4 linked regions of the Diceros bicornis minor genome follow. The protein of the gene in region 1 interacts with the protein of each later gene in a pairwise test. Links are inferred from orthologs where the notes say so. Each region holds a gene or a part of one and is shown on either strand. Other genes may lie near its edges. The genes, in order: EXOC1, TRIO, KIF5A and RESF1.

Evidence for each region.
Region 2: the proteins of EXOC1 (region 1) and TRIO interact in a two-hybrid assay, tested with the Homo sapiens proteins (2 studies listed by BioGRID and IntAct). The link is inferred for Diceros bicornis minor from reciprocal best matches to the Homo sapiens genes EXOC1 and TRIO.
Region 3: the proteins of EXOC1 (region 1) and KIF5A interact in a two-hybrid assay, tested with the Homo sapiens proteins (2 studies listed by BioGRID and IntAct). The link is inferred for Diceros bicornis minor from reciprocal best matches to the Homo sapiens genes EXOC1 and KIF5A.
Region 4: the proteins of EXOC1 (region 1) and RESF1 interact in a two-hybrid assay, tested with the Homo sapiens proteins (2 studies listed by BioGRID and IntAct). The link is inferred for Diceros bicornis minor from reciprocal best matches to the Homo sapiens genes EXOC1 and RESF1.

The regions. Positions count from the first base shown.
Region 1 is NC_080747.1:43,525,330-43,533,096, forward strand, and holds the start of EXOC1 (exocyst complex component 1), read left to right. Parts: upstream 1-4,750; 5' UTR 4,751-4,902; intron 4,903-7,767.
Region 2 is NC_080759.1:50,414,922-50,422,393, forward strand, and holds the start of TRIO (triple functional domain protein), read right to left. Parts: upstream 3,004-7,472; 5' UTR 2,568-3,003; coding exon 2,411-2,567; intron 1-2,410. UniProt on the Homo sapiens protein: Guanine nucleotide exchange factor (GEF) for RHOA and RAC1 GTPases. Involved in coordinating actin remodeling, which is necessary for cell migration and growth. Plays a key role in the regulation of neurite outgrowth and lamellipodia formation.
Region 3 is NC_080756.1:11,425,200-11,433,095, forward strand, and holds the start of KIF5A (kinesin heavy chain), read right to left. Parts: upstream 3,001-7,896; 5' UTR 2,822-3,000; coding exon 2,693-2,821; intron 1-2,692. Other genes in the region: DCTN2 (dynactin subunit 2), read left to right, coding at 6,069-6,104, 7,009-7,077. UniProt on the Homo sapiens protein: Microtubule-dependent motor required for slow axonal transport of neurofilament proteins (NFH, NFM and NFL). Can induce formation of neurite-like membrane protrusions in non-neuronal cells in a ZFYVE27-dependent manner.
Region 4 is NC_080756.1:31,828,253-31,835,542, reverse strand, and holds the start of RESF1 (retroelement silencing factor 1), read left to right. Parts: upstream 1-4,280; 5' UTR 4,281-4,628; intron 4,629-5,092; exon of another isoform or gene 5,093-5,147; 5' UTR 5,148-5,240; intron 5,241-7,290. UniProt on the Homo sapiens protein: Plays a role in the regulation of imprinted gene expression, regulates repressive epigenetic modifications associated with SETDB1.

The sequences.
Region 1 (7,767 bases):
AACCTTGAGATTAGAACGGGGACATTTGTGTGGACATGCTTTAGAATTTTAAACCCCCAGATTTTTTGCCATTCTCTGTGCCAACAGTCTCCTTCCTCTTGATAAAGGAAAGCAGCCTCTTCTTGTCTGGAAATGCTGCACAAAAAAAAAATATGTGGGCAAGTGCCTCCTGATATGACCTTACTTTCCTCAATAACCACCCCCATTACCCTCATGGCTTCAAGCCCGTAACCAGAGTCAGATCACGGCACAACCCATGCAGGGGATTGTAATCCCTACTCTAAAGAGAACTATACCAAGATTCCTCAATCTCAGCACTAGTGACATTTTGGGCTGGATAATTCTTTGATGTGGAGGGCTGTCCTCTGTATTGTAGGTTATTTAGCAGCATCCCTGGCATCTACCCACTAGACACTAGTAGAACCCTCCCAGTATTGACAACCAAAAATGTCTCCAGACATTACCCAATGTCCCTTGGGGGTCAAAATCACCCTCCAGTTGAAAACCACTAAACTATAGACTAACTCAAAAGGAATTGCAAAACTGGCTATTATGTACCAATAGACACCAGTGGAATATGTGTGAGAGTGAATATTTAGAGTATCAGACAGAGGAATCGGGTTATAAGGCTGGAAGAGAAAACTTAAGAGATAGTGCCATTTACCTGTGATCTGGATTTAATGTTTTGGCAAGGACACCTGGAGTCAGTCCTAACACATAGCCTTGGTACCTCCTGAAAGCTTGAGTATGATGATGGCCGGTGCTAAATGAGATTGTTAGAACAACTTTGAATAAGTATTGAGAAAGGAATCAGAAGACTCAGGGAAGCAGGAATGTCAGAATGAATTTATTATGTGAGACTAAAGAACCACCACTAGAATATGTTTCCCAGAAGTAAAGATGTTGTAATGAACTTATTGTGAAACTAAAGTACTCATTACTTGCATACGTTGCCCAGAAGGGCTGTGACGCAAGTTGCCTAATGCTTAGGCCATTTGTTCTAGCAGATCTAATGGTGCTGGAGGGATCTGTGATGGATAAGAGCGCTGCGTGAAATTTCTGGAAGGCCCCCAGTATGAGAGTTGCAGCACAGATTCCCAAGAGTTCTCCAAGGCCATGCCTTCTGAGGCAGAGAACTATTCTCCACTGGGGAAACTAGAGCTATCTATCATGAGCTGGATATTACCAGATCCACCAAGTCATAAGTGCATGGGTGCGGCAGCAGCAACCTACTGAAGTACGGAAACGGTATAGGATTGAGGCTGAGCAGGTCCAGAAGACACAAATAAATTACATGAATGGATAACTCAGACTCCCATGGCACTTCTATAGCACTGATATTTCTTTCTCAACTCACTCCCATGGCCTCTTAGAGTTCCCCACGAATACCTAACACAGAATAAAAAAATTGAGCCTGGTTCACAGATGGGTTGGCACATGATGCTGGTGGGTAGGCAAAATTGGACTGCTGCTGCACTATAGCCCATTTAGGGATGGCTTTAAAGAACAAAGTTGAAGGGGAACCTTCCCAGTTGGCAGAATTTGGAGCAGTATTCTTCATTGTTTGCTTTGTATATAAAGAGAAGTGACCTGAAGTAAAAATATTTACAGATTCCTAGGTTTGTCTTTCTTGCCTGAAGGGACTCTGCCAACATCCACAATCACTGGAATTATACCATTCCTGATTAACATTACCTCAACCAAGCAATACATTTTACAGTCAAAAAAAAAAAGTGACAACATACACATGACCCTGGAATCCACTGATATTGTCATATCCCTCATCACTCAGAAGCAGCCAGCATTATAAAAATGGTGGAATGACTTGTTACTGGCTCAGCTAATGTGCCTGCCTGAGATTGGAGTGTTGTCCTACAGGATGTGGTAAGTGCTCGAAACCAACCAATAGAGAGCACCCCCAACAGCTAAAGACGTGACTCCAGAAACCCAGGAGCAGGATTGGCCTATTTTAACATCACTCTCAGTGACCCACTTACAGAGTTTGTGTTTCCTGCCTCTCAAATTTAGGCTTTGCTAGATTACTATAATTAGTTCCCCAAGGGTTGGGTGGAGGATGCTACCCCTAGAATACACAGGATGGAATGCACTGAGCTGGAAACTCTCTCACTATCACTTGGTCTCTTTGGGCTTTTCATGGCAGTAGACCAGCTGGCAAAGAAAAGAGTTACTATATTGGTGGGAGTAATCAACTGCGATTAGCAAAAGAGTCTGGGATTGCTACTACACAATAGCAGTAGGGAGGAATAAATCTGGAATCCAAGGAATTCACTGGGGTTTATCTTGGTATTTCTGTACCCAGGGATAAGTTGCACAGGCAATCATGGCCTAACCAGAGCAAGGAAAATGAAAGCTGAAGGTCTGGGTTACCTCATCAGGGAAACAACCTAGATCAGTTGATGTGCTAGCCAACAGTGAAGGGACATTAGAATGGGTAGTAGAGGAGGGAGTTAATGAATACAAGTAAGGTCTTGGCTTCAGTGTAGCAGTAGGTACTGAAGCTTATTCCACTAACTCTCTTATATTAAGTCCTTGCAGAGATTGTGAGTGGCCATCATCTTGAAGGGGCCTCTGTAAAGGACTAGACTTAACAGGGCACAAGCAGATACGAATGGTACAAGGAGTGGACTGAAATGGACACCTTCTGTGTCTTTCTGTGTATTTTCTGTCACTACTTCAAATCCTTTCATCTTCTTATTCCAACCACTGCTGCAGCAACATGTTCTGAACAGAGGTTGATGAGTTTTGGGCAAGTACACCATGACAGCACCTCTCCTCTTACTTCCTGCCTCAGGACTTCTGTGATGGGGGAGTCAGCTTGGCATTCACAATGCTGCAATTTGGAAGTGTGGAGTAGTCAATGCCCAGGAGCATTAACCTTTGATCAAAGGTGGACAGGAGCTGACAGAGGACAGAGCTTTCAGTGGACTGTTTTGAGACTCTTTCATGAAGTTTGGTCCCAAGGGATCAAGAAAACATTCAAACATGATGATGCCAACTCGATAACACAGCCTTATATTGTCTCTCCCTCTTCCTTGTGTTATTTCCCCTCCCCCTTCTCTCACTCTTGCTCTCTGGGATCAAAGCCCTAAATAAACTACTGCACATAACTCTTTGTTTCAGCCTCTACTTTTGGGGGAATCCACAAGGGGAGAGGAGAGAGGAGAATTTAATTTTTGGACACACAAGTTTGAGCTGCCCAACAGACATCCAAGTGGAAGTATTGAGGAGGCAATGGATACACAAATCTGGAGTTCAGGGAAGAAGTCCAGGCTCCTGAAATGCAATTCACTTCTCAACTTTGAAGAGGACAGTAAATACACACGTAAAAAGAAAGATATAGGACAAAATAGCACATGCAATTGTCATATAAAAAGTGTCCATAGTAAGTGTTCTGAGACTGAGTGGGAAGGACCTAAGGAGTCTTTGTAAAGATAGGATTAGATACAGATCCTGCTCTTAGAAGGGAAGTCATTCAATGAAACTGAAAAGCATTCCAAGTAGCATTGACTAGAGCATATTGATCTCAGTAGCAAACAAGTCCCTACTATTTCTGCTGATTTTTCCACCAAATTGTATCTTGATACATTGAAAGATACTTTGCACAGCTCATTTGTCCCTTTCTCAGTGAATCCATCCCTGACAAAGTGAGTTACTCCCTCTTTTGCATTCCCGTGGTACTTAGTCTCTTTTTTTCTACCTTTGTTGTTGGGTTTACCTCACTAGACTGTAATTTATCCATCTTCTATTTAATTCTGTCTCCCCAATGAGAGTGTGCCCCCTTCTGAGTGTATCTCAGCACCTAACACAGTGCCTGGCATAGAGGTGGCGCTGTTTGTCAAATAAATGAACGCATGCATGAATGGATCCCTGCAGAACCCTTGCAAAGGACTGCGTTGAGCAGGAGCAAAGAAATCGCTCCTTTGAATTCTCAGCACTTATCTGACCGGTACCTCTTGGTCACTTATTTTGTCTTATTTTATACATATTTGTATGCATATCTTGTTTAGCCCTACCATACTGTGAACATCTGCAGGGTAGGATTCCTGTCTGAATCACCTCTGCACCTCGATCAAAGTGCCTGGCATAAAACAGGTGCCAAGAACATGGAATAAATGAATCACTTGCCTTGCAACCAGCAACACTGGCATCATCTGTGCTTCTCAAACTTAAATGTGCATAGGTGTCATCTTGTTAAGATGCAGATGCCAATTCAGTAGATCTGAAGTAAGCGGGAGAGGCTGCATTTTCTAAAGAAAAGCCAGATGATGCACAAACAGCTGGTCCGCGGACCACACTTTTGAATATCAGGGTCACTACATCAGTGGTTCTCGACGGTAGATGCATAGTAGAATCTTCTCAGAAGATACTAAAAGTACTGATGTCTGGGTCCCGTGCCCCAGAGATTCTGATTTAACTCATTTAAACTCTCCATGCAATAAGTAGCAAGGATCTAGAGTTAACAGAGCTTTACACATGCAAAAAAGAAAATACTTCATCGGATCTCTTCTTATATGACTTGCTGAAAATATCTGAATAAATAACTCTTTTAGAGAAAGTAATACGCAGCACCAAATCCCCAGGTCCCTAGTCACTCTCAGAGCGACAGAGGCCCCGCCCCTGCCTTCCTTGCCACGCCCCTCCGGCGGGAGCTTGCCCCGCCTTGCCACGCCCACCGCCGCATCTCCTTCCTCCTCTACGGGGTCGACTTCCGGCGTGGAGGCTTGTCACGTGCCCGGATATGGGAAGTGGTGGCGGAACGGCTGCGTCCTCTCCACCGCTCAATTGAGGGGAACATCTTTGTCACGGTGGTTGCCCCAGCCGCATCCAGTCTCCGTCTGGGAGGACGCGCCTCGGCACAGCCGGGCTCGGTCCGGTCTTGCGGTAAGCCTTGGGCCGCGGCTGCGCAGTGGTCCCGGCGTTGGCGGACAGACGAGCGGACTGGCGGGCGCCAGAGTCTAAGGCGGACCCTTAGTCCCACTGCTGGCTCGGCGCCCGGGGTCGGATACCGCTGGCTCCGCCGTCAGGCCCCCTTTCTCTTCCCTGCCTGTCTGGGTAAGGCGCAGAGTCCAGTCGGAGCATCCCCCAACCCCTTGCTGTCCTGGGGTCTGGGAGGGCAATCTTTACACATCCCTTTCCGGTTCCGCCCAGAGGAACCAGATTTCATTTGTAAAAAAACCGACCCTGATCGTTTGCTCTTTGGCGTGGACCAGGAGAGGAGGGCGTGACAGTGCCTTCCCCTTCATTGTCCAAATCAACATTTTCGTCTAAATCTCTTAAGTGCATTTCCCTGGTTCCGTGCACAGTTTTCTGGATGACAGTGCTCCACGCGCATTGATGTCTCGATAGCATACAGGGCCCAACCCGCACGGACACTGACACTGACAAGTTATTTGTCACGCAGTGGAATGATCCAAATGAATTTAAAGAAACAAGAACCAACACAGTATTGTGGCTGACTGCCCTTGGAACGTGGTCAGACATGGTTCTTAAACCTGGAAAATAGTTTTAGAGGACCTCTAGTGATTTATTCACTGACTTACAAAAAGGTACTGTACAGGCTGGAGAATTAATCACTCGATCCGTGGAATGTAAATGCCATTGGAGGCGTGGATCTTCCTGTCTTCGTGAATATGTCTGTCATGTTCACCCCTGTAACCTAGAATAGTGTCTGGTGCTTAGGAGGCATCAATATTTGCTGAGTGAATGAGAGTCACATAGTGCGTTTCATTATGCCTAACTCCTTTATGAGGTATGCCCCGTCCTTTCTTGTTTTACCCCTTACCATACAGTCAGTGGTTGCTTTTGATCAAAGAGGGGCTGTGTGGTAGATGCTGGCTACTATTGGTCATTCATTTGACCAGTTTTTACTAGTCAGTTCAGGTTACCTCAAGAGGTATTTGTTGAGTACCTGCTAAAAAAGAACAAAACACTATGCTAGAGCATCTCTTTCCCTCACTTCTCTTTCAGGAAAGTTCTTGAGATCCAGGAGCTTATGATCTCATGAACCAATTAGTGCTTGTTTAGTAAATACAATACGTGCTGTAGCAATTGAGAGGAGAGATCAATTTGGATTAAGATCTGTATTGAATCAACTTCATATAAACCAAGCCATGTAATTAGGATAGATGCTATTCCCTGCATGGAAAAGCACCTAAGCAAAGGTTTAAAGACCGAATGAACAGAGGGCTTGGAGTGGAAGGTTTGTATTTGGGAAGATTAGGAAAATGTTGAGCAAGGGCATGTTGTCGTGAAAGCTGTGTTTTAATGTTATTATTTGCTTTTGGGTTGTGGAAGTTTGCAAAGAGCTAACCAGATACAGTAGTGTTAAATAGATATAGTTGATGTGAACCTGGGTTAGTGTGTTGACAGTGGGATCAGAAAGGAAAGATAAATTATGTGTAGCTGAGGGGAAATCAACAATGTGGTAGCAAATTGCATGTTGACAATGGAGGAGGAGAATCACATATGACAGATTTTGAACCTGGACGTTTGCTTACAGATGTGAGAGTTGGGAAGGGGGAACCTTAGGGAAGCTATAATTGTCATGTTATTTGGTGCTGTCATTTTGGCTAATTTTTTAAATGCCTGTTATATCTTTGGCAAGTTCTAAGTATACAAAGATGAATAAGCCATAGTCCTTGCCTACAGAAGCTACTTTTAATGGGGGAGAGAATACAACTAGCTACAAAATATGGTTTGTAAGTGGTATGTTAGCAGAGCAGAGAGGAAATGTTAGAGAAGTAGAAAAGGAATTCTTTGTGTGTGTGTGACTGCTTCACAGAAGAGAGATGTTTTAGCAGGATCTTGCAGGATGAGTTGGAGTTTTCCCAGGAAGAAAAGAATTCCAGGAAAAAGAAATTGCATGAACAAAAGCCCAGAGATAGAAAAGTAAACTAGCCAGTATCCAGTGTGACTTGGGGGTAGGATGGAGTAGAGCTTTTAACAAAGTGTGTAAGCCCTAGGACATAGTAAGAGATTAGTAACATGGACATTTGGTAATAGGAAGAATGGAGGTTAAGATGGGTGAAAATGTAGAGAGATGGAAAAGAAAGCCATTGGGGAAAATTCTACTTCATGGCTTCTATATTCTCTGCAGGGTAGATGGTGAAGTCATTTGCAGCGAGGGAGGAAGCTGGCACTAAAGTTGGGGTCTGAAGGAGAAAAATAAGGATTTGCAACAAGACTGATGGAGAGTAGGAAGAAAAATTATCAAAGGAAGTGTTAAAGAATTGCTGAGCACCATTGAAAGTCTAGCTTTGACTGGATTTAGATATTTGTAATGAATGCAATGAACGTGGATATGTGGCCTTCTTAAGTGGCATATGGTAGCCCAAGAGAAGTGGAGGAAAAAATACAGTTTATGGAGATTGATAAACAAGGTGCACTGGTCTACAAACAGTATAAGATAATTGAAGGGGAGAGTGGGGGTGTAGGGAAGTGAATACTGACTGTAGGCTAGGTTGGAAAAGAAATTAAGCTTGGAGAGGCCAGATAGACTAAGAAAACAGGAAGGAGGAGATGGTTAGAAGACTAGAGGCTGAGATGAGATAAAAGAGGGATGGAAGTGGGAAGATGTGATTTTTGTGAGAAAAGCAATTTTGTGAGTTGGAGCAGAGATAGAAGTTTCACAGATTGAGTAAAATATAGGAGATACCTAGTTTACAGAAGTGTCATTGTGTTATAAAGATTCTTTCTAAGTCATTTATTTAAAACTCATAATTTCTTCATTTTCCCATGGAAACAGTG
Region 2 (7,472 bases), on another chromosome or scaffold:
CTCTGTGTTTCTACATCTTAGGAAAGAATGTCAGATTTTACTGATGGACTTGGCCTCTCCATTCTCCTCAGCCAACCAAATTCAATCAAAACTGCTCAGGATGGCCCCTGCCTGAGCCACTCTACCAGGTGAGGTCCCCATCCAGGGTCCTCCCGCTTCATCAGTCATGACTGTCCAAACCCCCGATTCTACCCCCACCAATCCAACTGAATGGTACCTCTCTACTCTCTGCTAGACATCACCGCCCTAGATGCTGGAGCCAAGATCTAGGTCAGGGATTCAGAGCTGCCCAAAGGAGGGAAAGGCACTTTTAAAAGATGTTCCAGACTACCCCTGAGATGGGACAGTGCAACCGCTGCCTACTTTAAATCTGCTCTGGCTCCTGGTTCCAAATCAAACAACTAAAGGGGAAGTTTGTCCAATCATTTTGGAGGGTGGAAAAAAGGAGCAAGCCAGTGAGCAGCATTGCCTGGTTCTGCCCAAACCTGAACGTGAAGAGGAGCCTGGACAACGGAGCAAGCACAGGCCAAGGCATGGCCACCAACAGATTTATCTCCCCGGATAAATCCTGGGGAGAGCCACGCTGACAGGAAGCAAGTTCTCTGTGGGCATCCAGTCCAACCTGATGTCTTCTAGGGGCTCTTCTGAGCAAAAGAAGTGAGTTCTCTATTGTGCATAATAAAGATGTAAGAAAGTCTGGTCTCACGAGCACCAAAAATCCCATCTCCAGGGCACAAGAGCCTTTCTAACAGAGAGGAGCTGAATTCTGCACAGAATCTATTATTCTGTGACAGGTGGTAGAGACAGAGAGAAGACAGGCTAGACTTTAGCTTCAGGGCATGAAGGAAAGACGTCCCAGTTCTACTATTAAGAGGTAAGACAGGGCTGCTCTATCGGGCTAGTTGCACCAAAAAAGGCTTTCACTAGGAGTTCGTTTTCCCTAACCTTTGCTTCCTGCAGGGACCTCACTGGAAAGGGGACCCTGGGGAGCATATTAACCCCAAGCTGACACTATAGAGTCGGCGTATGTCACTCCCAGCCACCACCAATCTGTTAAAATGCCTCAAAAATAACCCTGCCTGGCAAAGAACAAGAAAACGGGGTTAAGACAGTACTAAACCAGGTATCTATCTAAGGACACTGCTAACTTCTGCCTCTGACCATCGCCCTCCTACTGCAAATTGCTCCCTGTGACCCGGATTACCGGACTGATCTCACCGAATCTGGGGACTTCATTTTGAAAGAGGCCACCGAGCGCGCCCCATCGCAGGCCGCTCCCCCGGCATCCCCGGCCGCGCCGTCCTGCCAGGGGCCGCCACCAGCACCCCGCACACGCCCTGCGCCCGCCCGCCCACCCACCCCGGCGCCGACCTGGCCCACCCTCCTCGGCTCTCCGGGGCCGGGTCTGCATCCTCTCCACCCCGCGCCTGGCCGCCCGGCACGGCGCTCCGGGCCGCGGGCCCCGAGGCCGCCGCCGCCGCCGCCGCCGCCTGCTCCTCCGCTCCGGCCCGGAAGCGCGAGCTGACCGGACTGGGCGTGGGGACGCGGGCCCGGGCGGGAGAAGGCGCCGCCGCCGGGGTCCCGGGGACGCCCCGTCACACCCCCCGCGCCTCCTCCCCGCGGGCCAGTCGCAAAGCTCCCCTCTCCCGCAGCCACCCCCTCCTCGCCGGAGAGACACCGGGCCACCTGGCACTGCCTCCACCTCCACGCCACCCCGGCAGTGGCCCGCAAGCGCCTAGCCCTGCGCCTCCCCCTGGGCCACCACGTTCCCAGATGTCCCTGCCGGGCCACCCCCAGAGACAAAGGCTCACCCGCCGCCCGGCCGGCCGCACTTCATCTCGGCCACCTCCCCACTTCCCTGGGCAGCGAGTGCCATGGCTGCCCCGTTTCACAGAAGTGTAGACCGAGGCCGGGGAGCTGACAGGCTAGAGGACCGAGGGAAGAGACCCGGCTGCTCATTTGGGTCGAGGAGGGTCCAGGGACAAATCGGCCACAGAGACCGGCCCAGATGACCGCCCGCTTTCCCGGCCCGGCCCCGCCGCCCCCGTCCGCTCGGCCTCCGGGGCAGGGGCCTCCCCCCTCGCCATCCCCGCCGCCGCCTCCTCGGCCCTCCAGCAAAGGAGACAAAGAGCCGGCGCCCTACCCCGTGGAGCTGCGGGCGCCGGGGCGGGAGCCGGGAGATTTCACCCTGGAACGGGGGCTGGGCGCAGGGGAGGGTGAGGCGGCCGCCTTCGGGCCGGGCCGCGGCGCGCGGGGCGGCGGGCAGCGGGACACGCCGGGGTAGGTCCCGGAGCCCCGGCGCGGGGTGCAGCGGCCCGGGCGAGAGCGCGCCGGGCCCGCCGGGGCCCGCGGACCGCGCCTCCGCGGCGGGGCCGGCCGAGCGCGCGGGCAGCGCCGCAGTTGCACTCACCGGATCGGAAGAAGGCCGCGATGTCGGCCAGGTCCTTGGCCGCCTCCTCGGCCCCCTCGCCGGCACCGCCCCCGCAGCCCGAGCCCGCCGCGCTGGCCGTGGCGGCGGTGCCCGAGGACGCGGCGGGGGCGGCGGCGCCGCCGCTGCTGCCGCTCATGGCTGCGGCGGCGCCCGCGGCCGCGCCCGGCTCGGGCCCCGCGCCCCTAGCGCCGCGCGCCGCCCGCTCCGCGCCGGGCCTGGCGGCTCCGAGCGCCCAGCTGCCCGCGCCCGGCGCGCGGACGCAGAGCCCCGGGGCGGCGGCGGGCGGCGGCGGCTTCTCGGCCCGAGGAGCGCGCCCACATAGACGAGGACTCCGCCCGGGAGCCGCGAGCTGGCCGCGGGGCGGGGGCGCGGAGCCACGGCCTCGGCGGCGCCGGCCGGAGCGCGGGCAGCAGCGCGCGCCGCGCCGGACACGCAGTCGCGAGGGCGGGGGCCCGTGGCCGGCGGGAGCTCCGGGATCACGGGCGCCGGCGACAGCCGCGAGCCTCCATCTTGATTTCAAATAGGGAAGGAAGGAGGGGGAGGGGGGAAATCACGGCCGAGGGAACCCGGGTGAGAGGAAAAGGGAGAGCAGGGAAGGGAGAGGAAGGAAAAAGGGGGGCTTCGGCAATTTCCGGCGAACATCGTCAGGGGCCCGAGCGTGGGCTCGGCGGGTGGGCGGGGCCTGGCGGGAGGGGCGGGGCCGCGCCGGGCTGCGGGGCGCCCAGAGGGCCGGCGGCGGCCGCGGGAGCGTTCGGTCCTGCTCTTTCTCCTCCGCCCGGGCAGCTCGAACCTCTGGAAGGAGGAGGAACGCTCTGACCGGCTGGGGCGGACCTTTCCAGGCCCAGCGTAGCGCCCCCCGCCGGGGCGCTCGGTCCTGCACTGCGAGCACCGTCCTCCGAGCGCTCGAGCTGCTTATTACTGATCTCGCCCGCGGGGCCCGGCGACTCGGACGCTGGGCCGGTGTGTCGCTCATTGGCGCAGCGCCGGCGCTGGTAGATGGGGCTCCATAATAGTGGCTGAATGAACAGAGAGTTCTTGAAAACCCGGAGGTGAGTGGGGCAAGCCTCAACTCATGGGGGCATAAGCCTCCTTGTCTGTAAAATGAGATTCCAGACCTACCTCCCCTCCGTCCTTACTCCACCAAAATGTAAAGAATGAGAAAGGTGATGGGGGCCGGGGAAACCAAAGGGAATGGGGGGGTGGGCGACATCCAGCTTTATGGAAGGTCCATGTCAAACCAGCGTTTGACAAGTATTCAAGTTCAAAACGCCTATGACGTGGCTACAAGAGCAGTGAGCAGAAAGGATGGGTGTCAGAGGTTAAAGGATCTAGTGATGCGGAAAACAAGGAGAAGCAGAGACAACATTGATTAACAGCAACTGGATGATGAAACCACTATACATGTATACTGGAACTGAACAATTAAATAAATGAATGCTGGGTGGTGCATACCAGGTTTTTCACTATTGGAGAGGGAGGTTACAGATAACCAGGGGGAGGAGGCTAGAAAGATCCATGTGGTATTGGATTAGAGTTGGAGACATCAGTATGAATTCATGTTTAGCTTAACATAAATACAGATGGATATATAAAAAGATTTATGGATATGTGTATATACACAGATTAGTACACATACACATATTTCCTTGCTCTGTCAGCTGAGTGGACTTAGAAACGACACTGCAGTAGCAACAGCACACCTGCAGTAGCAACAGCACACCTGGCACTCAGACCCTGTTTTTAACACCATTCTCCAATAAAAGGAACCAGGGCTCCTTGGGGAAATGGCTGACTCTAGGACTGAGGCAGGAAATAGACAAGATGAGCCCAGAGCATCCTGTTGTGCCAGAAGGTAAGGAAGTGTTCAAACAAAGTTTTTTTTAAATCAACAACCACAGCAATGATAGAGGTCTGTCAAAGGAACACAGGAACCACTTGAAAGAGCTCCCAGGGGCCAAAGCTGGAACAACTTGAGCAACAAAATAAATAAAGCAACACTTGACTATAACTCAAAGTATAAAATAAATATCCAAGAGTCCATACTGATATAAATAAGTGATTAGGTAAATAAATGGGAAAGAAGAGACAAATTTCCCATGCAGAAGAATTTGAAATCATGTATGTAGATACTCTGCCCACAATGAGATGGAATAGAACTCCCGTCTCCTTAACTATGGGCTGCATATACTGACTTCCTTCCAAAGATTACAAAATGGAAAGAGGGGCGGGAGAGTAACTTCACAATGGAGACACCTGGCAAACCCTACTCCAGCCTCGTGAACAAGGTTAACATTAACAGTGATCAATCATGTGGGTGGTATGTATCCTTGATGTAATGAAAATGGCACTTTACCTCTGTGGTCTTCCTCCCAAAAGCACATAACCCCAGTCTAATCATGAGAAAACATTAGACCAATCCCAATTCAGGGACTTTCTACAATCTACCTGACCAGTACTCCTCAAAACTGTCAAGATCTTCAAAAATAAGGAAAGTTAGAAAAACTATCCCAGCTGAGAGAAGCCCAAGGAAACATGACAACTAAATGTAATGTAGTATTCTTGATGGGATTCTGGAACCAAAAAGGACATTACGTAAAAACTAAGAAAATGTGAATAATATATGAATTTTAGTTAATAATAATGTACCAACACTGATTCATTAATTGTAAGTAATGTGGGGAAATTGGGTGTGGGGTATATGGGAACTCTATACTACCTTTACAACTTTTCTGTAAATCTAAATCTGTTCTAAAATAAAAGTTTATTTTAAAAGTTGTTTTAAAATTGTAAGTGCAGTGTCTCAAAAAGAAAAAATGCGGTAGGTCCAAATTTCATAGGCCATTAGCTCAGGTGTGCTCACAATGTTCCCTTTTCTTGTTTTTCTCCAAGTTAATTTCTGTCCCCAGCTCCCATTCCCCCTCATGGCAGAAAGCTTAATGCTAGCTCAGGGAAAACTCCATCTCCAGGGACTTTCTTTGTTAGTTGAGTGCCTTCCCCCTCTTACGTCCTCCCCAAGGTGGCAGCCAAGCTCCCAGAGGCATTGGTGGTACCACAGCGTGGGGTGGGGTTGAGGAGGTTGCACCTGGTCCTTAGTCATCATGGATTCATGCTGGCACCAGTGCAGATGTGTCCTGTGTCTGTGCCCGTCCCTGACACTCCTGCCTGGACTGCAGGCGTTGCTATGACCTTGTTGCCTTCTGCTGTTGGCCCCTTCCTCACCCAACCATGGGGCCTCTTGAGGTCTGCTGGCAGTCAACACCCCTCCTGAGCTACTCCCAACCTCTCAGGAAAACAGTCAACTGCTCACTGGGGTGCTCAGACCCACCTCACCACCCTCCAACCCCCACCCCAGAAAGTGAGGCCAAGTTCTCCCTCCTTCCAGATCCCTCAAGCCTACCTGGGCACAGACTTCCTTTCTCAGAGACTCACATCAGGGTCTAATGCTATCCATCTCCTCTCCCCCAAATTACAAAATTAATTCCCCTGCAGGAAGAAAACCTCACTCCCGTTTTACCATGCTTTCTTCCAAATCTATTGTTTATGGCATAACCTTTGTGTTCTTAAGAGACTCAGTTTAAATATTCAAAAAACCTTTCCCTCCAATTATGACCTCGGCCATGGGTTTCTGAAGTGTCTCTCAAAATTCAGAAGCCAAGTGCTGACTTCTTTCTTTCTCTTTATCTCCCTCCCATTGTAACTCTACCCTGACGGTCGTAAATACAGAGCCCCCCTCTGCTGCCTAAATGGTGGATAAAGGGCAAGAATTTGAATAATAAAAACTGCTGGGGCAAGGGACAGATGGGATATCATGCAGCCACAGAAAGACTGGCAATACCTTAGTGATAGTACTTGGGACAGCTGGAAAAAGCCAAATTGTGTTGGAGGGTTCTTGGGTAGAGGCAAGTTCTGGGGTTAGGAGTTGGCCTGAAAGGGAAAGTGAATGCGTGGTAGTACTGCTATTGGGGATCAGGGTGAAGAGGGAATGATCAATGTGTATTTGGGCAAAAAGATCTCTCTAGGGTTGAGACCCAGATAGTGACCAATTCTCCCATCTCAGGTAGAGTCATTTCCAAGAAAGCAATATAAAAGACCTGTGCCTGAGTGTGGGACATGCATTACGGCTCACCCAGATTGCAATAAGAGAAAGAGGCTGCACGCAGGTTTTTTTCCTTCTGCCATCTGAGCGTGTGTAGGGGGATCTAAACAGGGTTTCATGACAGCTGCTGTTGATCCTACCCAACCTTCAAAATTGAGCTCAAATTTCACCCCCTTTCATGAAGCTCCTACATAACTCAAACTGATCTCTCCCTCCTCTGTATTCTGCAGCACCCACTGTTCTGGCATTTGATCATGTACTGCATTATATTATTTACACCGTTCGTGTTTAATATCTTGCCTACAAGATGAGGAGATCCTTTGCAATCAGTACACAAGCATCAGCATGTCTCCTGTGTGCCTAGAACTGGACCAGGCACAAAGGTATGAAGCAAAAGAAATGGAGAAAGCCAGCTGGGGCAGACATTGCAAATTGTCTACCCAAAATCCTTTCTCTCCTTCTTATCAGAACCCATGCCTGGCTAAAACACTCCATTTCCCAGCTATGGTGGCCATGTGACAGGGTGCTGGCCAATGAGATACAAGTGGAAAGAACTGGGCAGGGCTCACAAGAAAGAGTTCAAACTGGGCATGTGCATGCCCTTTGCCCTTTATCCTCTCTGGAATACAGACAAGATGCTGGAGGTGAAGAGACCACTGTGTGACTACGAGAGGGTGCACGTGAGGACAGAAGCATATGGTACTGATGGCTGAGTGAGCTGCCCACCTCCAGACTTCTTGTTCCACAGAAACATACAAGAAAAGGAAGACTCTGATGTAGTCAAGGGGCTGCGAGGTGGGTGTTCAGTTTTGTGCAGCCAAACCAGCTCCTAACAGATAGACCAGCCATGGTTCTTTATCAGCGCCTCTCAAACTTTTCCACCAAGGAAGCCCTGAAGATGGAGGAGGATGAAGAGACAGGTGAAAGTTGTATCCTTGAAGATCT
Region 3 (7,896 bases), on another chromosome or scaffold:
AATAAATAAATAAATAAAATCTTTAAAAAAAAAAATGGGTCCAATGAAAAAGTCACAGTGGATTCTGAGGGACACAAAGAGCAAAACAAGGTACACAGCACACAGACAGTGACCCAGACACCCTTCTGCTATGACTCAGGCCATTAACTCTGCCTAAGCCCCATCCCCCAGATTCCTGGGAGAAGTCAGGGGAGTGAGAGAGGGATAAGGCTTGCAGAGCTGTCTCTCCAGCTTATTCTCCTACCCTCCGCCAAGCAGAGAAAGCACACGAACATTAGGGACTCTGAAACCCAGAGCTAGCTGCAGTGCCGCAGAGGCAGGGAGGAGAGCCGCTAGAGAAAGGAGCAGGGGCTGGGTTTGGAGAGATTTCCTCTCCCACCCCCCCTCTTCCCTCACCTTCCCAGACATCCTGAAGCAGCTGCCTCCATTAATTCCTCAGACAGTTTCTCACACACTGGGCCCCAAAGGGAGCTAGAGGAGGAAAGAGTAAAGAGGGTAGGAGATTTCCTTCCCTTGTTGGGACCCTCAAGGGTCTCCTCAAATTCACTTCTCCTATAGCCCTCATCTTCCCGAATGAGGAAGGAATAGCAAGGCTGGGACGGCAAACTCCAATGATGCTGCCTGAGACAAAATGGCCCCCTAGAAGCATTTATCTTGGAGTGAGAGATTGACAAAAAGGGCTAGGGCGAGGGAAGATACAGAGCAAGACAAAGGTAGAGCCCTACAAATATCAGGGGAAACAGATAAGGAAGGAGCAGCTGTGGAACTAAGATAGAATCTGAGTTGGCAGGGGGCCTGGGCCTCTCTTCATCTCTCCTCCCTCCTCACCTTCCTCTGTGTCTCTCCTGTCTAGCAAATTGGACAGATCAACACCACACCTCCTCCTCCCAACATCACTCCATGCCCCATGCCCACCACACCAGGACAGCCCAGAGAGCTGGAAGGAGTCGGTTCAGACTTAGCAGATAAACCTCCAGCAAGGAAGCCAGGCTTAAAAGTAGAAGCCTTTTGTGGATTTGCTCCTCCCTCTTGTTTCTCAGGCTTTGTGTCTCAGGGGGACCTTAAGCTCCAATGCTCATAGCTAAGGCTGGCTATCCAGACTACACAGAAGGGAGTCCCCCAGGGTTGATCCAGGCATGATGTTAGCCTGGCCAGACTGGCCAGACTGCAAGGCCTAAGGGCCCTGAGGCAAAGAGAAACAGGGGCTCTCTCTATGTGGCAAACACACACACAAGGCAAACGCACCCATCTGAGTTCACAGTGCGGTGAGAGCTCAGCATGGTGGCAGACTGGGGCCCTTGGGGACAGAACCTGTAAGCAGGTCTCTTCCTAAGGCATGTTTACTCAAAGTCCCATGCTCACTGATGAAGAAGGCCCAGGCTCCCTCCCCTTCTTTCCTTCCTTCCTTTAACAAGCCCACCTTGTGCCAAGCACTGTGGATCAAGGATACATAACAAGCGCCCCTGACCTTGAGGACTGCCCTCATACGTGCCCCTCCCTTCTCAAACTGGCCACAGTTCCCTGGTCCAGCACCCTTCAAGCCCTACTGGACTCGACCCCAGATCCTTTCACCCATAGCCTCATAGTCCCTACCAACCTGGGAAAGGAGAGGTGGGTTAGGAATTCCTTTTGGGCCACCCCAGATAAAGGTCCAGAAAAGAAATCTGAGGAGGCAATGTGATATAGAGAAAAAGACATGAGCTTTGGAGTCACAGATTTAGGTTCAGATCCCTGAATTAATAGTGTGACCTTGAGAAAGTCATTCAACTTCTTTGGGCCTCAACTTCCTCATCTGTGAAATGGAAATATTAATACCTATTTCAGAGCGTTGTTTTGAAGATTAAATAATATATGTAGAGTAACAAGCACACAGTAAATATTAGTTCTTCTTAATGAGATCTCCTCTAGGGGTAGAGGCTGTCATGATGAGGTAGAGGTAGCTTGCCACTTTTTATTGGATCATCAAGAGAAAGGATGAATAAGCAAGTACTTGTTAGGATCTCAGGGTTTGGTTATTTTTATTTGTTAGGGGGAGTTGGGGGTCTGAAATCCTCTTCCTGCTGAACCCAGAGGGAAAGGCAGCTATTTCCTTAGGACCCCAGAGACTCCCCCCCAAACTGGGTGTGGCCACAATGTATTTTTTTCTCAGAAAACCCTTCATCAGAGCCCTTCCCTCCCCCCAACTCCAGGCTGTAACTACTTCAGGGGATGACAGAGGGCTTGGTCCTGGAGCCCACCCTCATGTATACCTCCGCAGAGACCCCGAACTGCCCACCTCCAATCCAGCCCATCCATCCACTAGTCTTCCTCCTCCCTTCCCGGGAGTTGGGGGTAGAGATTCGAGCCAATAACAAAGGGAAGATGCGCTTTCTCTAGGGGAGAGGGAAAACATCGGAAAAACACGGGACTGGCTCTAAGGGGTGGGGACGTTGCAGAGAGCAGCAACGCGGACTTGGGTCCCCTGATCGCGGGGAAGTAGCCCCCTCTGCGGAGACTTGGCCGTCAGCCTGGCCAGGCCACACCCAGCCATCCTGATGCAGCGGAGAGGAGGGGCTGCGGCGAAGAGGATAGAGGACCGAGGATGAGCCGCGGGGAGTGGGCGCAGAGCGATAGGCAGGGGCTAAGGCTCAGCCGAGGGGAGGATTCACCCTACCCCCTCCTCCCCGAAATTCCCTCCTGGGGCGGCACTCACCCCAATAACGACGCTGTCGTCCCCTTGGAAAATGGGGATGAACTTGTCTCCGCGCAGAATCTCGGCCTGGTTCAGGGGCCGAAATCGGCAGAGCACCTTGATGCTACATTCGTTGTTGGTCTCCGCCATGGTGGTCGCCGGCGCGGGGCTGGGGCACTTCTTGGGCGGCAGAGGTGGTGTGTGCTCCAGAGGCGGGGGCTCAGCTGAGGCCGAGGCAGAGGACAGGTGCTCTGGGGCTGAGAAGGCTGTTGCGGGCGCCCGGGCGAAGGCTGGAGAGCAGGGCCGGGGCGCGCTTCCTCTCTCCTGCGGCACCGGGATGCAGGCGACTTGGCGTCTGGTCCTCTCGGCGCTCTGCCTCTCCGCCCCTCGCGCTGCAGCGCCGCGCTGCGGGCCTGGGCGGGGCCGCGCTGGAGGAGCGGGCGGGGCTTCCCTCGAGGGGGGCCAGCCGCTGGCCTCCCCCACCGACTGGTGGCACCTTTCCTCTCTTCTCCCCTCCTCTCCCCAACCTTAAGTCTCGGAGAGAACCCTGCCCTCACCCCTTCCCCACCCAAGTCACTCACTGCATCCTACCCCCCACATCCCTGATCTGTCTGTCTCTCCCTCGGACTCCACCCCCCTGGAAGGGATAAGGAGTCTGAGGTGGGCCTGAACCTGTTTAGAGAAGAGAGTCAACAGCGCTTCCACCCGCTTTATTCCAGGGCATCGGCCACCCCCGTCACGTCATCTTTCCAAATTGGGAGCACACTTCTCATTCCCTCTCCCCACACCCCCACCCCCGCACAGATTCCCAACCCACTCAACCTGCAAGGGCAGCTGCCTGTACCCCTATGGAGCTGGGTGTCCAGGTCCCATTTTTCAGAAAGGAGTGTCAGGGGAGGTCCGGCCATTCCCTTCCTCTTCTACATCCAAAGGTGCACTCTACTCTCTCCCCAACATTCACACCAGGTCCCCAGTTTGAAGGAAGATGAACTCCCATCCTGGGCTATCAGAATTCAAAAGCAGATAAAATTCTCACTTTTGCCTCATAGGTTGAGGCTGGGATGGAGGTGGAGAGGAGTAACTTTTTCAAGAGAAAGGGAGTTAGAAAGTGGTGAAGGAGGGGTGATGATGGGAGCAGGTAAGGCCAGAGGGGCGTTCAGAGAGGACCTCTAGGGCAGACATCTGCATTAGGGTTTCAGGCAGGTTTAGGCACATATGTGAGTGTGTTTCCTGTCCCAGTTACTGTTGGGCAGAGTACCAACACCCAGCCCCTTTCTCAGGCCTTTCTTCTCTATTTCTCCCCCTTCCCTGGCAAAAAAAAAGCCATGCCTAGAGATTCCTTGTCCTTCCTCCCCTCAGGTCAGACTCCTGCTGCAGCCCCTGGGCAGAACCACCTAGAAGCTGGCCGAATTGATTTTTCTCCACGTCACAGGCCTCTGCTGGCGAACAGAGAAGTTAGACTGCAGGAATTGAGGTTCTGGCCAAGGGGAGGAGCAGGGTGATGGGAGACAGGAGGAGGGGATGGAGGTTCTGCCTAACTAACAATTGCCTAAGGTCACTTAGACACTACGAGGCAAGGATGGGAGAATGATGGCCTGGCCAGACAAGACCTAAGCACTCAAAACTCAGCTGAGGGGGTTTCTGGAATTCAGCCTATACCTCTAACCCACCTTGAATCTTAAGGAAACTGAGGGAAAGGGGTCCCGCATAAGAAACTGGATGGGAAGGCAGTAGGAGAAAGAGAGGTTGAGGCTCAGGGAGGAGCCAGGAGAGTATGCACACAATGACAATGAGTTCCAAACTCGAGAAAATAGGCATCTCTCCAGTCACTGAGTCTGGCACTTTTTCTAAGTGTTGCAGCATTCTGCAAGCTCAGGAAATATCCCAACCTCAGGCCCCCAGGGGCTCCAGGGTGGCATCCTTAGTGAAGGAGTTTCAAAATGCTAGTCCATAGAGAGTCACTGGTCAGAGACAAAAGTTCACCAAGCATACCTCCCCCCAAAACACACACATACAATGCGATAAGTTTTTCATAAAGCTGGATTTGTTAAGTTTCAAAGGACTTTTATTCTGAGAATATGTCTTTCTGTACCTTTCCATTAAGTAAGGATGGTAATAGTAGTAATAGGTTTTCTTTCCTTAATGAACTTACTTGGCAAAATAAAAACACAGCAATATCATGTCTATCTTCAAAAAGGTTTATTGTTATTGTTTTGATTTTATTGAACTGTGAAATTCAGAAGTTTGAAAACTATTAGTGAAGTGGTTAAGAGCACAGCAGGTGTTCAGACAGACACAGAGCCACCACTTACCTATTTATGAATGTGAGATAGGATTGCCTGATTCGAAAAACAAAAACAGGATGCCCAGTTAAATTAGAATTTCAGATTAAAAAACTAATAATTTTTTTTGTGTCAGTAGGTCCCAGGGCCAGCCGTGGCTTAGCGGTTGAGTGCGCGAGCTCTGCTACTGGCAGGCCAGGTTGGGATCCCGGGCGCGCACGACGCACTGTTTCTCTGGCCGTGCTGAGGCCGTGTCCCACATACAGCAACTAGAAGGATGTGCGACTATGACATACAACTATCTACTGGGGCTTTGGGGGAAAAAAAGGAGGAGGATTGGCAATAGATGTTAGCTCAGAGCTGGTCTTCCTCAGCAAAAAGAGGAGGATTAGCATGGATGTTAGCTCAGGGCTGATCTTCCTCACACACACACAAAAAAACTCCGAAATATAGGATGGGACATATTTACACTAAAAAAAAATTAGTTGTTTCTCTGAAATTCAAATTTAACTAGGCGTCCTGTATTTTATCTGACAGCCCTAACTTGAGAAGATTACTTAACTTTTTCACTCCTAACATGACTAAGCCTCTACTAAATTTTACTCGTTATTGTTTTTGAAGCCCTGGCTGTGCCACAGCATGCCTAGTTGTATTATTTTTATGTAGTCATTTAATTTCTGGGAGTCCAAATTTATTCATTTGGAAAACAGGAATTATAAAAGCTCTTTCCCAGACTTGATGTAAAAATGGAAGAAAATAAGTTGTATGAAATGACTCCCAAGGCGCGTTATTGTCATTGCCCGCCCAAGCCTCAATCAGCTAAGACTACATATCCCACAATTCTAGGCGGCGTCCCCCTGCCATTACCTCATTCCCTGGCCTCGTTCTCGCCAATCCCTGCCTCGCCAGGGGTGTGGTGGCGGGCTGTTCTCGCGACTTTTGCTTTACCCTTCTCCTGTGTTACTCCTGTCGCGAGACTTCCTGCTCCTCCGCCTTCTCCGCCGCTCCCTTTGCCGCCGCCTTCTCCCGGGACCCGGACCCAGCCTCTCCCCTACCCGAACACCGGCCCCGGCTCCACCGAGGCCCCGGTCCCCCAACCCCGCCTCGCCGCCGCCATGGCGGACCCTAAATACGCCGACCTTCCCGGCATTGTGAGTACAGGGCTGGCCCCGCCTCCCCAGGACCGCACCCCAGACCTCCTCAGGACCCCCAACAGACACCAACCCGCGACCCCTCCCGCCTGCAACCCCTCCTCCGCCCCCGAGCCTCCCGCCGCTCGCTCCCCGACGGGCCGCAGCACCTCCTGGACTCCTCCCACCCGCCTGGGCCGGGTCGTGGGACGGCCTGCCAGGCCCCTTTTCTGGCAGTCGCCGGTTTCTCGGCCCAGAAGTCGTCTCCAGGCGCTCACCACTTGTGCCCGAGTGTTGTGTCAACATCACCCGTGTTTCCTCAAATCTTCCCATAAGCCCCGCATCCCCACCCCCTTACACACGTACCAGGCCACTTGGTGATGGCCTTCACCCTGCCAAGGAAGAGGTTACCGTGGCAAAACCCTTGTGCCAGATGGAGAACTCTGTCCTCCGGGGAACCTCCCCACCCCGCCCCGGCACATGCCGGCATGTACCCTCCTTTTCTGCCGCCCTGCCTGCATCCTCCGGGTGGGGGTTGGGGCACAGGACCTTGGGTACTAAGGTCCTGAGTCACTCTCAGCCCTTGTGCCAGGGTAGTTGTGTACAGGCCCTGATTCGAGCATAGCCCCTCTCCTACTTCTGACATAATGGACGCCAAGAACTCGCCCCCGTTTCAGAGTCAGGGTAACATCTTTGTCATCACTTACACTCACCATTTACCATCAGGTCACAGTTGTCCCCACTGTCATCTGCATCGTTCTAAGACATGGGAACTGACATGCAGTTCCCCGGGCAGGTGGAAGAGAATGCATAGAATCCTGGCACCACAGCCTGTCTTCTCCATTAGTTGTTCAAATGGAGGGGGGTCAGGGGTGTTCATGGATGCTGGGTAGTGAGGTTGGGTGGTCACTGCTTCTACCTGCAGGCCAGGAACGAGCCAGATGTTTATGAAACCAGCGACCTACCAGAGGATGATCAAGCGGAGTTTGATGCGGTAAGACTATGTGCTGCCTCAGGACTCCTCTGGATTCTGACCTCTCCCCCAGGCAGGCCCTTTCCCATTTCTGGTGAACCACAGCAATAAGCGGGTATGCCAACCCAGCCTGGGTGGTATGTAGGTTCTAAGGCTTGCAAAGGCCTTGCTGGTCTTACAGCCACCAATGAGCAATGCCAGGAAGGAGAGTCAGGTCAGTGGAATTACAGCTAACAAGACCTGATCTTCAGCCTTTTAAATAAAATTGAATCTCTCAAAACAGTTAGGTTTGGGGCTAGTGACTTAGGCCCCTGGGTGCTAGTCCATGGTAATGAATCCTGAAGCCTGAGCACTTATAAACTGAGGTTAGGACCTAGGCCTTCTATTTCATAAAAAATTTCACTCAATACATGTTTATTAGTGTCCTACCAAGAGCTAGATTTTGAAGTATAGAGGAAACTCTTTTATGTGAATATCCAGTATCCGTTGGGCAAGGAGTAAGAAAATGATTAGGAGATTTTAGGAAGATCAGGGACCTGGTCAGAGCAAAACAAATTTGAGGAAGAACATAAATCTTTCGTATCAGCAGAGGAGAGGCCCTGGTAGCACTTTCACATCCAAGAAGAGCTCTGAGGAGGAAGGAATTAGCTATGGACACATTTTAACCATGAGGGGAACCACTTAATCATTGTTGATTGAATGTGTTCATTTTGTATTGGTTTTTGTGCAATGCAGAGGAAGAAATGTCCCTGCCCTTAAGGATCCCCCAGACTAATAGGGGAGTTAGTATACATATAGGAGACATATGGAAGAAAAAATAAAATTGAATGAATGGAAATC
Region 4 (7,290 bases), on another chromosome or scaffold:
TTACACCAATACCACACCTGATTATTATATAGTAAGTCTTGAAAGCAGGTTGTGAAAGTCCCTCAACTGTTCTTCAGGATTGTTTTTGCTGTTCTTTGTCCCTTGTATTTCCAGGCTCAGGTCTCCAATTATCCCCTTTTGTCAAATCCAAAGGGTATTTTCCAGTTTATTCTTACTTGATCTGTAACAGGATTGAACATTTTTTACTCACGTGAATCTTTCTTTGCTTCCATGATTCCATTCTCCTCGTTTTTCTTGTCTTTCTGGCTATTCCCCTGTCTCTTTAAGGCATACTCTCCTCCCTTGCCATTAAACATGGGAGTTTTTCAAGACTTGGTCCTGGATCTCTGTTCTCATTTTATACTTCAATAAGCTAATACTCCTTCATATCCAGAACTTAATCAACCTGTAAAAGATAGAAATTTACTTCTCTCTCAGTAATAGTCTAGCTGATCCAGGCTGGTGGAGAGCTCTTCTTTACAGATCTTTCAGGATCTAGTTTCCTTCCATTTTGTTCCTTAAACATTCCCTTAGGCAGGGGTTATAACCTAGAGTACATTATATTAGTTTTCTCTTGGTGACATAACAAATTACCACATACTGGGCTGCTTAAACAACACTGACGTATTATCTCAGAGTTCCACTTCCAAGCTCATTCAGGTTGTTGTCAGAATTTATTTCCTTCTCATGCTTCCCACGTGGCCCCCCTCCATATAGAAGCCAGCAACAGGGAGGTGAGCACTTCCCATGCTTTCAATCTCCGACTTCTCCCTCTGCCACCTCTCTCTAGCCTCCTCCTCTACCTTCTCCTTCTGCTTTTTAGGCTCATATGATTACAATGGGCTGGGCCTACCCAGACAATCCAGGCTAATTGCCTATTTTTGGGTCAACTGATTAGTAATCTTAGTTATATCTGCAAAGTCCCTTTTATATATACGTAATATAACCATGAAGTAACACCAGGAGATGAAGGTCACAGGGGCCAAAATTCTGCTTACCGCATCTATGCATAGAATTCAGGAATACCATAAATTTAGATGGCCAAACAATTCTATTTTCACTAACATTTTACTGAAATGTATCATACCCTTCAATTATGAATGTTGGCCAAAAAAGCCACAGTAACATAGCAGTAGTAACACTAAATTTGTCACCATAAAAATGACAGGTATTTTCGTATTATTAGAATTAATGCAGACAATCTTGAAATACAGTCATGTGTCGCTTAATGACAGGGACCTGTTAGGAGAAATGCATTGTCAGGTGATTTCATCATTGTGCGAACATCATAGGGTGTGCTTACACAAACCTAGATAGTATAGCCTACTACACACCTAGGCTACATGCTACTAAACTTATGGGACCAACACCGTATATGTAGTCCATTAAAACATCGTTATGCTGTGCATGACTGTATCATTTATGTCTACCACTTTCAAAATCACAGTTGTTATTGGATCTGCTAATACATTTTATTTATTGTGTTAATAAAGATATACATATTACCATATCACACATTTGTTTTTTAAAATATTTTGATAACTTTCATATTGAATTAATTTCCTGTGTTATCTCACATAATTTACTTTAAGCATTCCAAAACATTATCCTAAGAAGGGGTATATGGGCTCTAACGAAATGGAGAAAGATAGAGGAATTCCACAGTAAGGCATTCCCTTAGGCAGAAGTTGCATATAACATTTCTGCTCATATGTCATTGTGAGAACTGAAACATGGCAATACTTAGCTGCAAGGGAGGCTTGGGGAATGTACTCTCAAGTTATGTGACCTTGTACCCAGCTAAATATTACTAACAGGAAGGGGAAACAGAATATGGTGGACAACCAAGAAAAGAAAAAGAAAACCAATGACCTTATTTATGACAAATGAATAATAGGCATCTTTTGTACACCAACATAATTTTTTTTTTTTTTGGTGAGGAAGATCAGCCCTGAGCTAACATCTGTGCTAATCCTCCTCTTTTTGCTGAGGAAGACCGGCTCTGAGCTAACATCTATTGCCAATCCTCCTCCTTTTTTTTCTCTCCCCAAAGCCCCAGTAGATAGTTGTACGTCATAGTTGCACATCCTTCTAGTTGCTGTATGTGGGACACAGCCTCAGCACGGTGTACTGAGAAGCAGTGTGTCGGTGCGCGCCCAGGAACTGAACCCGGGCCCCCAGGGCCCCCAGTAGCGGAGCACGCACACTTAACCGCTAAGCCACGGGGCTGGCCCCATAATTTCTTACTATAGGCATGCTAACGATGTCACGCACTTTTCCAAAACATGTTTTATAAGTTTAGGAGTCAACGCGCCTTGAGGCTAAGTAGTATGCTCTTGAGAGATTGACTTACCTAAGAGAGCCTTTGTTTTTGAATGTTGGGAAACACAGGGAGAGGATCTGTAATCTTTGATAAGGGACACAGCATAGAGCAATCTAATCTTTTGGTGGAATCTTTCCTCAGCCTGACCAGTTGGATAACAAGATTCTTTGTAACTGGGTTGTAAATATCTTAAAGAGAAGGCAATATAAAGCCCCACCCCTGATTAAACATACTTTCAGGTCCCGGAGATTGTGTCCTCTCTTTGCAAGTCTCCTTGCTGGTGACCCTTCAGAGCTGCTATATTGATGAATGTCAGTTGTACTTTAGGATTGGTGCAAAGACCAAACACTTTTGGAAAATCAGACAAGCTTTACTTATCTAAGGGAGAAAATCAGCACAGGCGAAGACAAGGAGACAGGGCAGAGAGATCATCAACTTCATCCTAAAAGGAGTTGTAGCTTCCTGGGCATTAAATCTTGCTGGGCATTAAGCCTTCCTCAGGCTGTATAGGAGTGGGGTCCCTATCAGACTTTCTGGCAACATTACTCCCTCTCCCTTGGGTTCATTTCTGCTTGCTGATCGCTGTAGCTTAGGCACCAGAAAACTCCTCATCTAAGCCAAGAGCACCATTCCATTTTCTGGGAGCTGCTCTCAATTATGTGTTAATTCATGTAACTATCTCAGCAATCCTATGAGGTAAGTGTCAGTGTTATTCTCATTTTACAGATAAGAAAACTGAGCAGAGACAGGTTAAGTGATTTTCCCAAGGTTGTATGTCTAGTGAGTGGCAGAGCCAAGATCTGAACCTCAAGGGCAAAGAAATACCCTGCCATCCATATCGCAAGAACTACCTACCTCTGCCCTTTGTCATTCTTAATCACTCAGACAGGATTCCCTTGTTGAGTTTCTCCTATAAAAGCCCTCCTATACAAAAGGTCTATTTCCCTTTCTCTGAGAAGGTTCCTCTGAATTAATGGATGTTCTCCCTACTGAAACAGCCTGGAAAAAATCCTCTCCTTACGTTTCACTTGGTGCACTTTCTTTCACACGCTTTATGGAAAGTTTGTCGACCCCATGCTCCAGATCACTGGTTCTGAGATCAGTAGCAACAACCTGTCCGGTGCACTTGTTAGAAATGTACATTTTCAGCCCCACTTCTGACCTACTGAAATCGGCAATTTTCCAAGCGGCACTTTTCAATCCCTTTTAACAAGCCCTCCGGGGCGATTCTGATGCAAAGTAAAGGCGGAGACTCACTGCTGGATAAGTTTTCTCCACCAGATACGAAAACTTAACTTTGCAAATCTCAGCGCGATCCACCGGAGGGCGGGGCAGGCCGCGGCGCCTGCTCATCCGGCGGCAGTAGGACCGCGGCGGCGCGGGGCTGGGCGCTCCCGCCGCCGGCCGGGGCGGGGCCGGCTGGTCGCGGAGCCCGGGCCTCGCTGCTCGCCCCGCCCCCGGGGGCGGACCCGAGGTGACTTAAATCCTGGGGCCGGGAGGCCGGCGTGCCCTCGCTGCTGGCCCGCGCGGTGCTCGGGGTCCGTCGGTAAGTGCGGGGCCGGGGGCCCGGCTGGCCCTCGCTCGCCGTCTGGGGTCCCCGCGGGGCGGTGGGCCCCGGGAGCCCGGGTGCCGGCGGGAAGGGCTGCGCGCGCGGCGGCCGAGCGCTTTGTTTTGCAGCGGGGAGCGGGCCGCGGGCCGCGGGCGCTCGGGCGGCTCCGGGCCGCGGGCGCCGCCGGCTCACACGCCCCGCGGGCCGCCGCCCCGCTCGCTGCCCTGCCCGGACGCCGAGCTGGAGCCGGAGGGCGGCGCCGAGCCGGTGTTGTCTTTACCTCGCCTTCCTCCTCACGGGAGAGCTCGCGGGCGGCGAGGGCCAGGACGCATTTTGTTCAACTATAAGGCGGTTTGTGGGTGTGAGACTAGCTTATGTTTTTAATGATTTCCTGTCGCTGGCGTGAAAAAAAAAAAATCTTTGTTTTTGCATTTACCAAGTCTCGAGCGTTCCCTCCCTCCCCCTCCCCCATGATGCTGAACCCCCCGAAACAATTGACCCCGCTGGCATCTCCAGGTGGCCCGCGAACGCGTCTGCCGGAGATGCTTTCTGTTCCTCAGCAACGTTTAGTTCCTCGAGGCACTTTTAAATGCACAAATGCATACCGATTTTAGGTGTTCTCGAGGGACGCGAATTCTCTAAGCACATTTCCTTAGGGTCGTGAGTTCAGCAGCCAGTTTTCGGGGAATCGTCCCAGTGAAAACAATTGATTTGTAATACCTTTAGTGCCTACCTCCAAAATAAAGAGAACAGCAGGTGATGTGTATGCACTTGAGGTGCATTTTGATAGGCGGGTCGCAGAGCTTGTTTGGGGATTTTTGTGCTTAATGTGTTAGCTGTAAATCATATTTAAGTTTTAGTCAGTGTTACCATGCGCGAATGTTAAGGTTTTGATTACCTATTTTTTTCCTGTGCAATCAGATTCTCTTTTACTGATCCAGTAAAGAAAATTGCTAAGGTGAAGTATTTTTTTTTGGAATGCTAGGACAACATGGACCTGGAGGAGCGCAGATGAATTCTAAGTTAAAAAGTGAATGGTATTTTAGACCAGATCTGTTTTCTATTTCTATTACTTTGTACACTTAATAAGAATTCAGTAAACTTAGTATGCTTTTGGTGCACTCTTAGGAACACAGGTTTGCACAGTAATGTCACATCAAGTAAACATTAGCATGGACTTTTATTATAAATTTAATGTAAATTTTACATAAATAAAAATATAATATAAATTTTATTTTAAATTATTAGTTATAAAATATTTCTTGCCATCCCTAGGACCAAAGAAGTAAACACTGTAGAGGCGTACTGATGTGTTTGGAGGGAAATGGGAGCATATACAATAATAGACGAGTAACGTCATATTTAAAGGTAAGTATGTCACCTCTAAGTAGCTTACTCTAATTTATGTTATGGAATAAAATTATTAATTAAATGAATCAGCATTGGTTAAAAATTAAACTATAGGACACAATGGATTTGGAGGAAAACTTCCCTTCTAGGTTCTTTGGCTGGTTTAATAATTAAATTGACATAAGACAGATGAACGGGAGAAAAACAAATGTATTTTCATATGTACGGGAGCCCATAAAAATGAGACTCAAAGAAGTGACCAAAGCAGGCAGCTTTTATACCTTTTAGAGAAGGAAACAATAAATTTGTGAAGAACTGACTGGACAAAGGGTTTTGGGCGTGGGGTAGCAAGTTAGTGAAGAAGTAACAAGGTTTGTTAATTCAGCCTTCTCAGCACTAAATTCCTTATCTGGTGATAAGGATGCCTTCTATTCTCTTGGTACCGAAAGTGTACCTTTCACATGGGAGATTTACATCTCGCTTGCAGAGAGACAAAGGAGGTTGGAGTGTCCTTGCACCAGCTGTTTCTTAAGTAACTTTAACTCAAAATAATCAAAATGCTGAAGTGGCATATTTTTGGGTGGCATATTCTGCTCCCCTTCTGTGACAAAGGTCGAAGGGAAATAATATGGTTGGCATAGCATGGAGAATTCAGTTCATCTTTGCAGGATATGAAAGAGATTATTTATGGTGGGGCAACTGTGGTCTAAGTTACTTGGGCAGAGTACTGCTTAAAATTATTCTCCACATGCTCAGTTTCTTATTTGATTGTTTTTATTTATTTCTGGCACATGGAGTTGGGGGAGGGTAGCACAGAGCACAACTCTGGGAGAACCATTCCATGAGATACCAACCTGTAAAGCCAAAGCGATTGTCTCCAGGGCCATCCCGTAAACACCAAGCTGTGTTAAGAAACTGTCTGTAATGATTAAGCCTATGGTCCCTGCAATCAGACTGCTGAGCTGCAGATTTTGGCTTTACCACTTATTATGTGTACAACCTTGGGAGAATATATTTAACCTCTCTGCCTCCGTTTTCTCATCTGTAGAATGTAGGTAACAGTAGTACCTCCCTCGTAGGATTGTTGTGATAAGTTACCTGAGTTTCATACATATAATACTTGGAACTGCTTCTGACACATAGTAAGTGCTCAATAACTTCTAGCTGTTGTCATGTTATAGGAAATAAATTTTATGGCCCAAGACAATAACACTACCTTGGAGGAAATTCAGCTTGCTCATTTAAGCTCTAAATCAGTTTATCAGCTTTGTGTTGATTAAACCCTTCTCCGTAGATCCTGTTATAGGTTCAGTTTTTGTAAGGAAGTACTAGACCCAATTCTAGTTTTTACCCGCAGTCTTGTTTGAAATCAAGAATGCCTCCATTAAATTCTCTAGCCAGGGCAGATTCGCCCATAAGCCTTGTTTTTCCGTCTGTCTTCTGTGATGTACAGGAATCTCTTCCCATTTAGATATATCAATGTCTTGGACACAATAGGAGCTCAAATATTTAGGGAATTGATTTAAATTTACAAAAGCATTTATAAAGATGAATTTCAAGAATTTTTTTTGTCTAACCAGGCCTTCACCACCCTTGCCCCATCCCCCCATTGGAGGCATACTCTTTGTGAAATAGACCTGGAAAGCATTCAATTTGAGATAAAGAGAACAATTTACCAACTATGTCTATAGAGATGCAAGTTAAAAATTACTTTGTAATAAACCTTGTAAAGAAAGAAGTAATCTTGGACCTTGAAGGATTCTAAATGCTTTGTTGGGAGGCAGCTATGTAATGTGCATATTCTTGAGACCCTAAGGGTGCTTGTAAATTGAAGGGCAATGTTGGAGGCTGGCCTGTTGAAGTAAATGTCTCAAGTGAGACATTTGCTCATAGTTGTTGTGATTGCAGATTTAATGACAATCATTAAGATTCTCTTGAGATGTATTAAATTACAAGACTTCATTTGTAAATAAAATCTTTAACTTGTGGTTAAAATTGCAAAGTGTTATAAGAAATTATGTCATTCACTTAAGTTTTAAGAAACAGAAATCATAAGCAGATTATTAGT